3 linked regions of the Saccharomyces cerevisiae S288C genome follow. The gene in region 3 interacts genetically with the main gene of each other region. Each region holds a gene or a part of one and is shown on either strand. Other genes may lie near its edges. The genes, in order: BAT1, SPS2 and SNF11.

Evidence for each region.
Region 1: mutations in SNF11 (region 3) and BAT1 together harm fitness more than expected from each alone (negative genetic interaction), as found in Saccharomyces cerevisiae (2 studies listed by BioGRID).
Region 2: mutations in SNF11 (region 3) and SPS2 together harm fitness more than expected from each alone (negative genetic interaction), as found in Saccharomyces cerevisiae (2 studies listed by BioGRID).

Annotation. Positions count from the first base shown.
Region 1 is NC_001140.6:515,477-519,246, forward strand, and holds BAT1 (branched-chain-amino-acid transaminase BAT1), read left to right. Parts: upstream 1-2,055; coding exon 2,056-3,237; downstream 3,238-3,770. Other genes in the region: SET5 (S-adenosylmethionine-dependent methyltransferase), read right to left, coding at 1-1,009. UniProt on the Saccharomyces cerevisiae protein: Mitochondrial isozyme of branched-chain-amino-acid aminotransferase, involved in the biosynthesis of the branched chain amino acids (BCAAs) leucine, isoleucine, and valine.
Region 2 is NC_001136.10:1,483,290-1,487,399, reverse strand, and holds SPS2 (Sps2p), read left to right. Parts: upstream 1-2,096; coding exon 2,097-3,605; downstream 3,606-4,110. Other genes in the region: putative serine/threonine protein kinase SPS1, read left to right, coding at 362-1,834; URC2 (Urc2p), read left to right, coding at 3,997-4,110. UniProt on the Saccharomyces cerevisiae protein: Involved in middle stages of meiosis. Redundant with SPS22 for the organization of the beta-glucan layer of the spore wall.
Region 3 is NC_001136.10:590,558-593,519, reverse strand, and holds SNF11 (Snf11p), read right to left. Parts: upstream 1,082-2,962; coding exon 572-1,081; downstream 1-571. Other genes in the region: IPT1 (inositolphosphotransferase), read left to right, coding at 2,176-2,962. UniProt on the Saccharomyces cerevisiae protein: Involved in transcriptional activation. Component of the SWI/SNF complex, an ATP-dependent chromatin remodeling complex, which is required for the positive and negative regulation of gene expression of a large number of genes.

The sequences.
Region 1 (3,770 bases), on a different chromosome or scaffold from region 3:
TTTCTTCAGAAGCTTTTGGAAATGCACCGCAAAATAATTCGTAGCACTTCTCCCAAACAGTCTCGTCATCAATATTCTTCTCAACGCCCTTTTTGGTACCATTATCAGATTCCTCTTCAGTATGTACAGTTGTACCATTCAGTAAACTAAACGTACTGCCGATACCGCTGGCGTCTCTTAATTTAATTCTTTCCCTTTGTGAGATGCTTGCCAATTTTTGCCATTGCTCTTTGACCTCTCCTGTAGTATCCAAAAGCATGGATCCATATATAAGACCAACTGAAAAGGCAGCGGTAAAACAATATTTCTCACAGTAGTTAACAAATCTTTTCCAATTACCAGCATGAAGAATGTCTATTCTATTCGATCTCCATGAGTGGTATAAAAGCTCATGTAACGACGCATGTGCTTTTTTACATTTTTCACTGCACCAAATAGCTTTGCAAACTTCACAATCCAAATAATGGACCATAATTTTGTGCTGGGTCAAATCATATAGCGCCTTACCACATCGAGCACATGCCTTTCCATTAGATATTAAAAAAAGCTTGTCCAGTGGTGGAATATATACGATAGGTTTATTTTCTTTCAGGATGATTTGGCCCTTGGAAAAATCTCTTTTAGCGAAAAGGCCCCTTCCATGTTCGTCATCAATAAATTTCACTTCGACCTTAGCATCAGAATCTAGGGCTTTTGGAAAATGTATTTTATCTTTATATAGAGAAACGGTCTCTAGATCTGTGTCATAAAGATGGTGCTCATTTAGAATTTTTCGAAAACGAGAAGCACTCAATTTCCACGATTGATTTCTTTCCGTAATCCTGTCATAAAGATGCTGAATCGTAGCGTCTTCAGTTCCGGGCTCTTCCTTCCATAACAAAACTACGTCATCACAGATCTCTTCCTCTGTGGGAGTTATCTTTCGAAAATCAGAGCCATTTTCTGTACCATTATGCACTGCAGATTGATCGCTATCGTTTAAGGTTCCTATTTTGATAGTCAATGTCATTTTTGTGCCACTTTTCGTTATTTTGTATCAGTGCACGCTTGGTTATTTACCTATTTAGCTTCTATTGTTATATGGAGAAGTTCCCCATGATTATGATATCAAGAAAGAAAAAGAAAAAGAAAAATAATACGAAAAAAAAAATTACGAAGCTAAAATAAAAAAAATTACGGCAAGGAAAGGGTTTACTGATAAAATTTGTTATCATTCTTGCTAGTCAGTAAGAGCATATCTGCTCAAGTAGACAAGGGAAACTATCGCAGGTGGTCCGGAAAGTACTTGACAATCAAATGCTCGTCTGAAAGCCAATGAGGAAAACTTGTAGACTGTACTAATTTTTCAAGAGAAAGAAAGATACCGTATGTTTGACTATTCTAACGAGATTTATGCTACAAACTCCTCGAGAAGCAAACTGAGGTAGAATTACCCACCCACAGCGCGATAAGTCACATTGGCGCCCTGGACTTGACGAATACTCCTATCAATAGTAAGGCTCGCAAACCGCCCGTCCATATCAAGCCATTAAATTCTGTTATTATCCTTAAAAGTGAAATGCGCACCACAAGCTTGATGGCATTTCCTTCTGCACTTCTCAAATTGATAGCATTGCCTTGCGAGCAGTAGATAATTTAGATAAAGTGTATCTTGCCAGGGCCTTCCCAGGCATTAACTAGATAATGTGTTCTTTTTTAGCTGAACTGTAAAGCGTAAATGTTAACGCTGGATAAGTACCGCGTGTACGGTTGATTGAATGATCTTACTGATAGAGGCCAGGCGGTTGATACTTTGTGCAGATTTCATACCGGCTGTCGCTATTATTACTGATGAATTGGCTCTCTTTTTGTTTAATGGCCCATCCGATCCATATTGCCTTCTTATGACTCAAAATTCTATTGTGTTTGCCGGTACCGGCCTTTAAGCTTTGAAAAAAAAAAAGCATCTGAAAAAAATGGCACTATAAAGAGAGCTAGTGGTAACAACTACATGTTTTCGTTAGAATAAATCACCCTATAAACGCAAAATCAGCTAGAACCTTAGCATACTAAAACATGTTGCAGAGACATTCCTTGAAGTTGGGGAAATTCTCCATCAGAACACTCGCTACTGGTGCCCCATTAGATGCATCCAAACTAAAAATTACTAGAAACCCAAATCCATCCAAGCCAAGACCAAATGAAGAATTAGTGTTCGGCCAGACATTCACCGATCATATGTTGACCATTCCTTGGTCAGCCAAAGAAGGGTGGGGCACTCCACACATCAAGCCTTACGGTAATCTTTCTCTTGACCCATCTGCTTGTGTATTCCATTATGCATTTGAATTATTTGAAGGTTTGAAAGCCTACAGAACTCCTCAAAATACTATCACCATGTTCCGTCCGGATAAGAACATGGCCCGTATGAACAAGTCTGCCGCTAGAATTTGTTTGCCAACTTTCGAATCTGAAGAATTGATCAAACTTACCGGGAAATTGATCGAACAAGATAAACACTTGGTTCCTCAAGGTAATGGTTACTCATTATACATCAGACCAACAATGATTGGTACATCCAAGGGTTTAGGTGTTGGCACTCCCTCCGAGGCTCTTCTTTATGTTATTACTTCTCCAGTCGGTCCTTATTATAAGACTGGTTTCAAAGCCGTACGTCTTGAAGCAACAGACTATGCTACAAGAGCTTGGCCAGGTGGTGTTGGCGACAAAAAATTGGGTGCTAACTATGCCCCATGCATCTTACCTCAACTACAAGCTGCCAAAAGAGGGTACCAACAAAATCTATGGTTGTTCGGCCCAGAAAAGAACATCACTGAGGTTGGTACTATGAACGTGTTCTTCGTTTTCCTCAACAAAGTCACTGGCAAGAAGGAATTGGTTACCGCTCCATTAGATGGTACCATTTTAGAAGGTGTTACCAGAGACTCTGTTTTAACATTGGCTCGTGACAAACTAGATCCTCAAGAATGGGACATCAACGAGCGTTATTACACTATTACTGAAGTCGCCACTAGAGCAAAACAAGGTGAACTATTAGAAGCCTTCGGTTCTGGTACTGCTGCTGTCGTTTCACCTATCAAGGAAATTGGCTGGAACAACGAAGATATTCATGTTCCACTATTGCCTGGTGAACAATGTGGTGCATTGACCAAGCAAGTTGCTCAATGGATTGCTGATATCCAATACGGTAGAGTCAATTATGGTAACTGGTCAAAAACTGTTGCCGACTTGAACTAATGATAATGAAGGTAAACATCCCCTCCCCCCCCAAAAAAAAAAAACGAGAATTCCTCTCAGAGGATCTGTTTTTCTCTCACTTTATTCACATAGATACATACTTTTTTACAATTCCTGTTGAGTTTATTTATTATAAGAAATATTGGATTACTATTATTATTATAGCTTATGCAAGCCATTGTGCGGCTTCTTACGCTTTTTGAAATTGTTGACCTAACAACTTGGCACATTATTGAATTTCATAGAGACTGCTTGTAATTTAGTTGCCAAGGTATCTCGCTGGACTTTACATGTAAAATGAATGCGGCAAGATACCCAAGAGAGTTGATTATGCCAAAAAAAAAAAATCTATAAGGATATCCCTGGTATTTTCTGAAGAATAAATTCTAGCGTAGTTCAGAAGAGGTGCAAGTACAGTATGAATAATGGTATGCCTTCCATCATCGTGGCATACAGGTTCAGGCATGAAGAGATGATTATGTTCCCTCACCGGTCCATAATCCTGATTTAAACAGTTCATTAGTATATGTTCA
Region 2 (4,110 bases), 890 kb from region 3:
CCATTTTTTTTTTTTGACGCGAAAGAATGACACTACTTTCTTCTATTGTAACCATTTCTAACATCGATATTTTACTTGTTAGTTCAGATATATACTAAAGAGTCACTTAATATACTGTTTTTGTTTATTATCTTGGTTCCAACTGCTTCATTTAATATTTCCTATCCAAAAAAAGCCAGCTAATTCTCTTCTTTTTTTTTCTTATTTTGCCATTTTCAATATTATCGATTTAGTGAACACCTGGCTAGTCAGTTGTCTTAGCAAACATTTCTCAAAAGAAAGCAAACCAGCATTTGCTTTTTAAATTTAGTTTTTTTACTAGCTAATTCATTTACTAAACAACAAAAGAAAATAGCACAAAATGGAAAGCAAAGAAATATCAATTAGGTCAAGAACCCCTCCATCGAAGCTATATTCCATCCAATCATGTATTGGCAGAGGTAACTTTGGTGATGTGTATAAAGCAGTGGATAGAGTTACGCAAGAAATTGTGGCAATTAAGGTGGTCAACCTGGAGCATTCCGACGAAGACATTGAACTGTTAGCACAGGAAATTTTTTTTCTGGCGGAATTGAAATCTCCTCTTATTACAAACTATATTGCAACAATGTTAGAAGATGTCTCTATGTGGATTGTCATGGAATATTGCGGCGGTGGATCATGTTCAGATTTACTGAAGCGAAGTTACGTCAACGGTTTGCCTGAAGAAAAAGTTTCCTTCATTATTCATGAAGTCACCTTGGGTTTGAAATACCTGCATGAGCAAAGGAAAATTCATCGTGATATCAAAGCAGCTAATATTTTACTAAATGAAGAAGGTATGGTTAAGTTGGGTGATTTCGGAGTAAGTGGCCACATTCGTTCCACTTTGAAAAGGGACACTTTTGTAGGAACGCCGTATTGGATGGCTCCGGAAGTTGTTTGCTGCGAAGTTGATGGGTATAATGAGAAAGCAGATATATGGTCCTTGGGTATCACCACCTATGAGTTACTCAAGGGCTTACCCCCATTATCTAAATATGATCCTATGAAAGTTATGACTAACTTACCAAAAAGGAAGCCTCCAAAATTACAAGGTCCCTTTTCGGATGCAGCAAAGGATTTCGTAGCTGGTTGTCTTGTTAAAACACCTGCTGATCGGCCATCGGCATATAACTTGTTATCATTTGAATTTGTTAAGAATATCACCATAACGAACTTGAAAAGTGATGTTGATCTAATTAAACAGAAAAAGGTTCAGGAGAGATATACAAAAGTTCCCAAATACCCTCTTCAAAATCGCTTGTATAAAAACAGCAACACAGTGAGGGGAAAGGAATTTTGGAATTTTGAATCGACAAGACTAAGCACAACACAAATTTCCAAAGAGGAATTATCTCCCATTACACAAGACTCTCCAACATCATCTTTAAATATGGAAAGTCCTTATTTACTTCATGGGCAAACTGTAACGCCGATAACCAACCCAAGTTCTTCATCATTTAGAAAATGTACGCAACCAGTTTTCGAGCTTGATTCAGGAATGGATATAGATTCAGGCTGCCCAAATGCTCAAGCAGAGACCGAAATAGTTCCTCTCTCTAATCATAATAAGAAGCATAAAAAGAACGATATTCAGGCGTTGAAGATAGAAAAGTTTGACTACTTGAAAAACATTGTATCTCATATTCTCAACAGAATGTATGATCGTGCGCGCGACGATGAAACAAGAAAATACGTAAATGAAATGTTAAAGCAATTCATTAAAACTGAGGCAAACGTTCCTGGATTTAATGAGGTTTTTATAGAAGAGATCTCACTAAGAATTGAAGCAATAAAGAAAGGATTCGTTTAAAAAAATAGATATATATATATAATGTGTGTATATGCATGAGTTTTTGTTTTCCATTCTCTTTCATCTTCAATAAATGAAGGATGGATATATTGAATTATATAACAAACAGTAAAAAGTCATGTGTTTTTGATTATTTACCTGCTTATTTCTCCCTTTTTTTTTCGATTCTTTTTTTCTGATCGAGCGTTTATGTCTTTACTGTCCCGTCATTGATGCGTCTCAAAAAAAATATTTTGTGGCATTACTTAGACTATAAAAGAAAATGCCAATTTGGAAAACACAAACATTCTTCACTAGTATTTCTGTTATTCAAATAGTCAATAAAGAAACCAAAGTTTCTACAAAAAAAGAAAAGGATAGCATGTTGAACCAGTTGAACACAATCTTAAGATTTTTATTCTTGTTTCTGCAGTTAATTAAATCATCCGCTGCAGTTGAACCTAATGGTGGACCGAATATTCTAGATCACAACATTATGTTGGTTAACACTAATGCAACGATCCCTAAAAAGGAACAAACTGATTTTGAGGTGATTTCTCCAACAAAACAAACACAAGTAGATGAAGACTGTAAAAAAGGCTTGTATCATATTGAGAATGCTGGAAATTTGATTGAACTGCAAGCTAAATGTTGGAAAGTGGTAGGAAACATTGAAATATCAAGTAACTACAGCGGATCTCTTATTGATCTAGGGTTAATAAGAGAGATAGAGGGAGATCTTATTATCAAGAATAACAAACACATTTTTAGAATCCAGGGTTATAATTTAGAGTCTTTGGGAAAGTTGGAATTGGATAGCCTAACTTCCTTTGTATCATTAGACTTTCCCGCTTTAAAAGAAGTTGAAACCGTTGATTGGAGAGTTTTGCCTATTCTAAGTAGTGTTGTCATTAACGGAAATATTAAAAAGATCAAAAATATTATCATATCTGATACTGCATTAACCTCCATCGATTACTTCAATAACGTCAAGAAAGTGGATATTTTCAATATCAACAATAACAGGTTTTTAGAAAATTTATTCGCAAGTTTAGAAAGTGTTACTAAACAACTAACCGTCCACTCTAATGCCAAAGAGCTGGAACTTGATTTGAGCAACTTACACACGGTTGAAAATATGACCATTAAGGACGTTTCAGAAATTAAACTAGCTAAACTTTCCTCTGTGAACAGTTCTCTAGAGTTCATCGAGAATCAATTTTCAAGCTTGGAACTACCACTTTTGGCAAAAGTTCAAGGAACGTTGGGGTTAATAGATAATAAAAATCTGAAAAAGCTAAACTTTTCGAATGCCACCGATATTCAAGGGGGTCTAATGATTGCTAACAATACAGAGCTTGCCAAAATTGATTTCTTCCCCAAGTTGAGGCAAATTGGCGGTGCAATATATTTTGAAGGTAGCTTTGATAAAATTGACCTCCCAGAGCTAAAGTTAGTAAAAGGTAGCGCTTATATCAAAAGTTCATCTGAGGAATTAAACTGTGAAGAATTTACATCACCAAAAGCCGGTCGTTCGATCATAAGAGGCGGTAAAATCGAATGCACATCTGGTATGAAAAGTAAAATGCTGAATGTTGATGAAGAGGGGAATGTACTAGGAAAGCAGGAAACTGACAATGATAATGGAAAGAAAGAAAAAGGAAAAAATGGTGCAAAAAGTCAAGGAAGTTCAAAGAAGATGGAAAACAGTGCTCCGAAGAACATTTTTATTGATGCTTTCAAAATGTCAGTTTATGCAGTTTTCACGGTATTGTTCTCGATAATTTTTTAGGTTAGAAGATTAACTTAAATACTAGCCATTTTATTTAGTTCTTATGAGATATAAATTTGCAGTAGAGATGTAGTGTTCTGATTATCTTCACCTGGAGCATAGCGTAGCCCACTTAGCATCAGCTTTTTATGTTATTTCAGGCATTACCAAAACTGGTTAAACTATTGAAACTGTTACCCTCCTTTTAATTTTGACAGTTTTTGAATAATTATTATGGTAGATCATCTTAACAAAATGAGCTCATTAGGTAGATGATTTAATTGAAAAATAGTGTTTTGATACGGTTCTTCCTTAGGGTTAAAACCACTCACATTTTGCTTACTCACCATTAAAACATCTTTCCCAGTTGTATTTTATATTTCTTTCGGTTTGCTGAACATCAGGGAAAAAAATGGATATAAACTCAAATGCCTCAGTAAGCCCCAGACCAGATGGTTTACCGATGACTGCTGGATATAATTCTGCTTCTGGAAAGGTGCGAAATAGTATCAGATCCATAATAAAC
Region 3 (2,962 bases):
TTACAAGTTCCTTACGTAGAGAACGAGAAGAGAATAGAAAGGAAGGGGTTGACCGTTGGAAGGAGGGGGTCCAGCGAGGCTAGACTAGGTTAGGCTAGGCCAGAAGAGAAGGAGGGGAGGGAAAAGTCAGAGAGTCAAAAGGAGAAGGGGCTACGCTCCAAATGGCGTAGAGTAAACTAGTAGATATTGAGATTAGGCTTCCGTTACCGACGTGCATGATGAAGATGACAATGCTTACTGCGACGATGACGAAGGTGGCTCTCGAAGAAGATAATAAGAAAGTAGTATTAATAGGGCTGGCAGTAAGATAACTACATCTGATGTCATAGATTTTAAAATACTAATATTATTATTTACGTTGGGTACATTACATACGATAAATTCATGCAGTTGTAGTACTTGAGTGATTGTTATTTGCCTTTCTTTTTCTGCTTTTCGTATTCTATTTTTCTTATGCTTCCTGTACTTGCTCTGCGGGTATGCAATCACACCTGTAGCTGAATGCAAAATTAAAATTGCAAAAGTAAAAAAAAAAAAACAAAATAAAAAAGGGAAGAGAAACAAAGTTATTCTACCATATCTCGAACACTCTTGCCAAGAGAAGATAGAGTTTAGAAAGAATATCCTGTGGAGGTTGCTGCTGGTTGGCTAGCTGAGGAGGCGTGAGGATCAGTGGTTTCGCTGAGGGCACTCCTTGGTTTATCTGAGATATGCATTGAAGATTGGCATGAACCCTTTTAAGGAACTGAGATATAAGTTGCTGTATCCTGATGATGTTATTGTTATTGCTATTATTTATATTGTTCTGTAGATTGTTTTGTAAACTATTATTCATCTGAATAACTCTAGCAAGTAATATGCTGTTGATATGCAATAGCAGTTGTACCTTATACTGTCTTTGCTCATCGACCGTGGGGAGGTTCAGCTCTGCAGTTGCATTTGCAGTTGCATTTGCAGTTGCATTTGCAGTTGCATTTGCATTTGCATTTGCATTTGTATTTACATCTACGCCAGCGCCAGTATTGCGGTTCTCGTTTTCAGTGTTGGTGTTCGTATTCGAGTAGGCAATTTCACTGCTCATTTTTCTGGGAAAAAAGGAAATCTGTGTGTTTTGCTTATATGCACATTGAATTTACACTCCCGATCGTGATGCGCTCTGAGCCCTGAATAGAGGGTATCATAAACGGCAATCTTACTACGACCCCACGTAATATGCTTTTATGGGAAGTCTGTTCTCCACTCCGTATATACTGTTAGGAGAAAAAAGGAAAAAAAATTTGCCCGAAAGTCGATTGTTACCCGGCAAAACAATCATCAAAAAAAAACAGGTAGAAGAAGGCTTGCTATAATTTGAACACTCTCTACCCTCCTGGCTGCTTTATCTACTTCTGTTGGCTTGAGAAACGTCATATCTATATATAGCGTAGATATGTTTATTCGCGTTTGCACTGGCCTTGAAGAAACGTGAAAAGAGGGTGGTTTCACCGCACAGCGGGGTTATCCTTGGTTACTCGTAAATGCCAATAATCCATCTTGAATAATTCCTATTCGAGACGCATGGGGAAATGCAAGGCAAGCTAACACGTAGTAGAATACCCTGCTGCACAGCGCCGTTGGGGTCTCAAGTGCAATTGCCGTTTTGCGCGGCGATAAACGGCTAAAGATTACTTCAGTTGGCCACGGCAGCTGCGCCCTTCCCGAGTGGATTACGCTCACGTGCTTTCCGCGGAACAAAAATGTGAACGCCACGGGAAAAAAGCATTATCCCCGCGCCGCTTCTTGACGCCTCTGATTGTGCTGATTGATTCCGCTTTTTTTTTTTACCGGCTTTTTTCTCCGCCTTCTTCGCCTCAATCGAGAGTTCTGGTGTAAATTCTCTTACGAAGTGCAAAGTTAGTAGGAAAGTAAAAAAAATAAGAAAAAGGAAAAATGCCTAGAAATGCAGACCTCCGGCCACAACATTTTTATATAATACATTCGAGCATCAAAAACCAGGAACAATAGAAGAGTAATCGCTACTTGTCAAATAAAAATAAAAAAAGGAAACCTAAGGCATAGTGTTTTCATAAGCATCGCTACTTTTTCATTGCCACCCTAACTGTTCCTTTATTTCACCGGTTGGACGTTATCATTTCTGCTAAGAATCACCTAAAGTCTTTCAACGTCTAAGAAAGCATGAATGTCATATTTTCTTTGGCGAGTTTCGTCAAAAACATGTATAATGCAAGTTTGAACCAACGTAATCTAATAAGCCTGCCGTTCAACTTCATGCTTAATTTTGCGCCAGTGTTTATTTGGCTGTCTATATTCAAGCGCGCTGGTCTGATACCCATAAGGCTCAGACCTGACATTCATAGCAAGTTTGCTTTTTTTGCTGATCAATTCCTCTTTGGGGACTATTGGCATGAACTTACTGTACAATTGCCCGATAATACTTCGAAGCTATTTTTCTGGTCATTCATATCATCTTCTGCATTTCTCTTAGTATTTCTGATATGTATTCCCTTTGCCATTTGGTACTACATCTATTACATTAAGCACGTTAACTATAATCTGTTAGAGTGGTTCGCAAATATTTTTCATTACCCCTGCAAGCGCAAGCAGCGGCCGATCCAAAAGAGATTTCGGACAATTTTCATACCGTTTGCCTTGCCCCTGTTTACATTTGTTATACTCAACATTGATCATTTCTTTGCTTACCAGTCGGATGCAAACTTTACTAAGACCAAGGATTTACTGGCTTGGTTCTCCTATGTCATCCTGCACTTGACAGCTCCAATTTTAACAGCTGTATACTTATACGTCTTCCAACCACCGGGGACTTTAAAATGCTTTAGTTTTGCCCTAGGATTACAAAATATAGCGGGGGTCCTTACCCATCTGCTTGTTCCAATGGCCTCCCCATGGTTTACTCATCTGTACGGTATTGATGACACCGAACATGTTAATTACACCCAGGAAG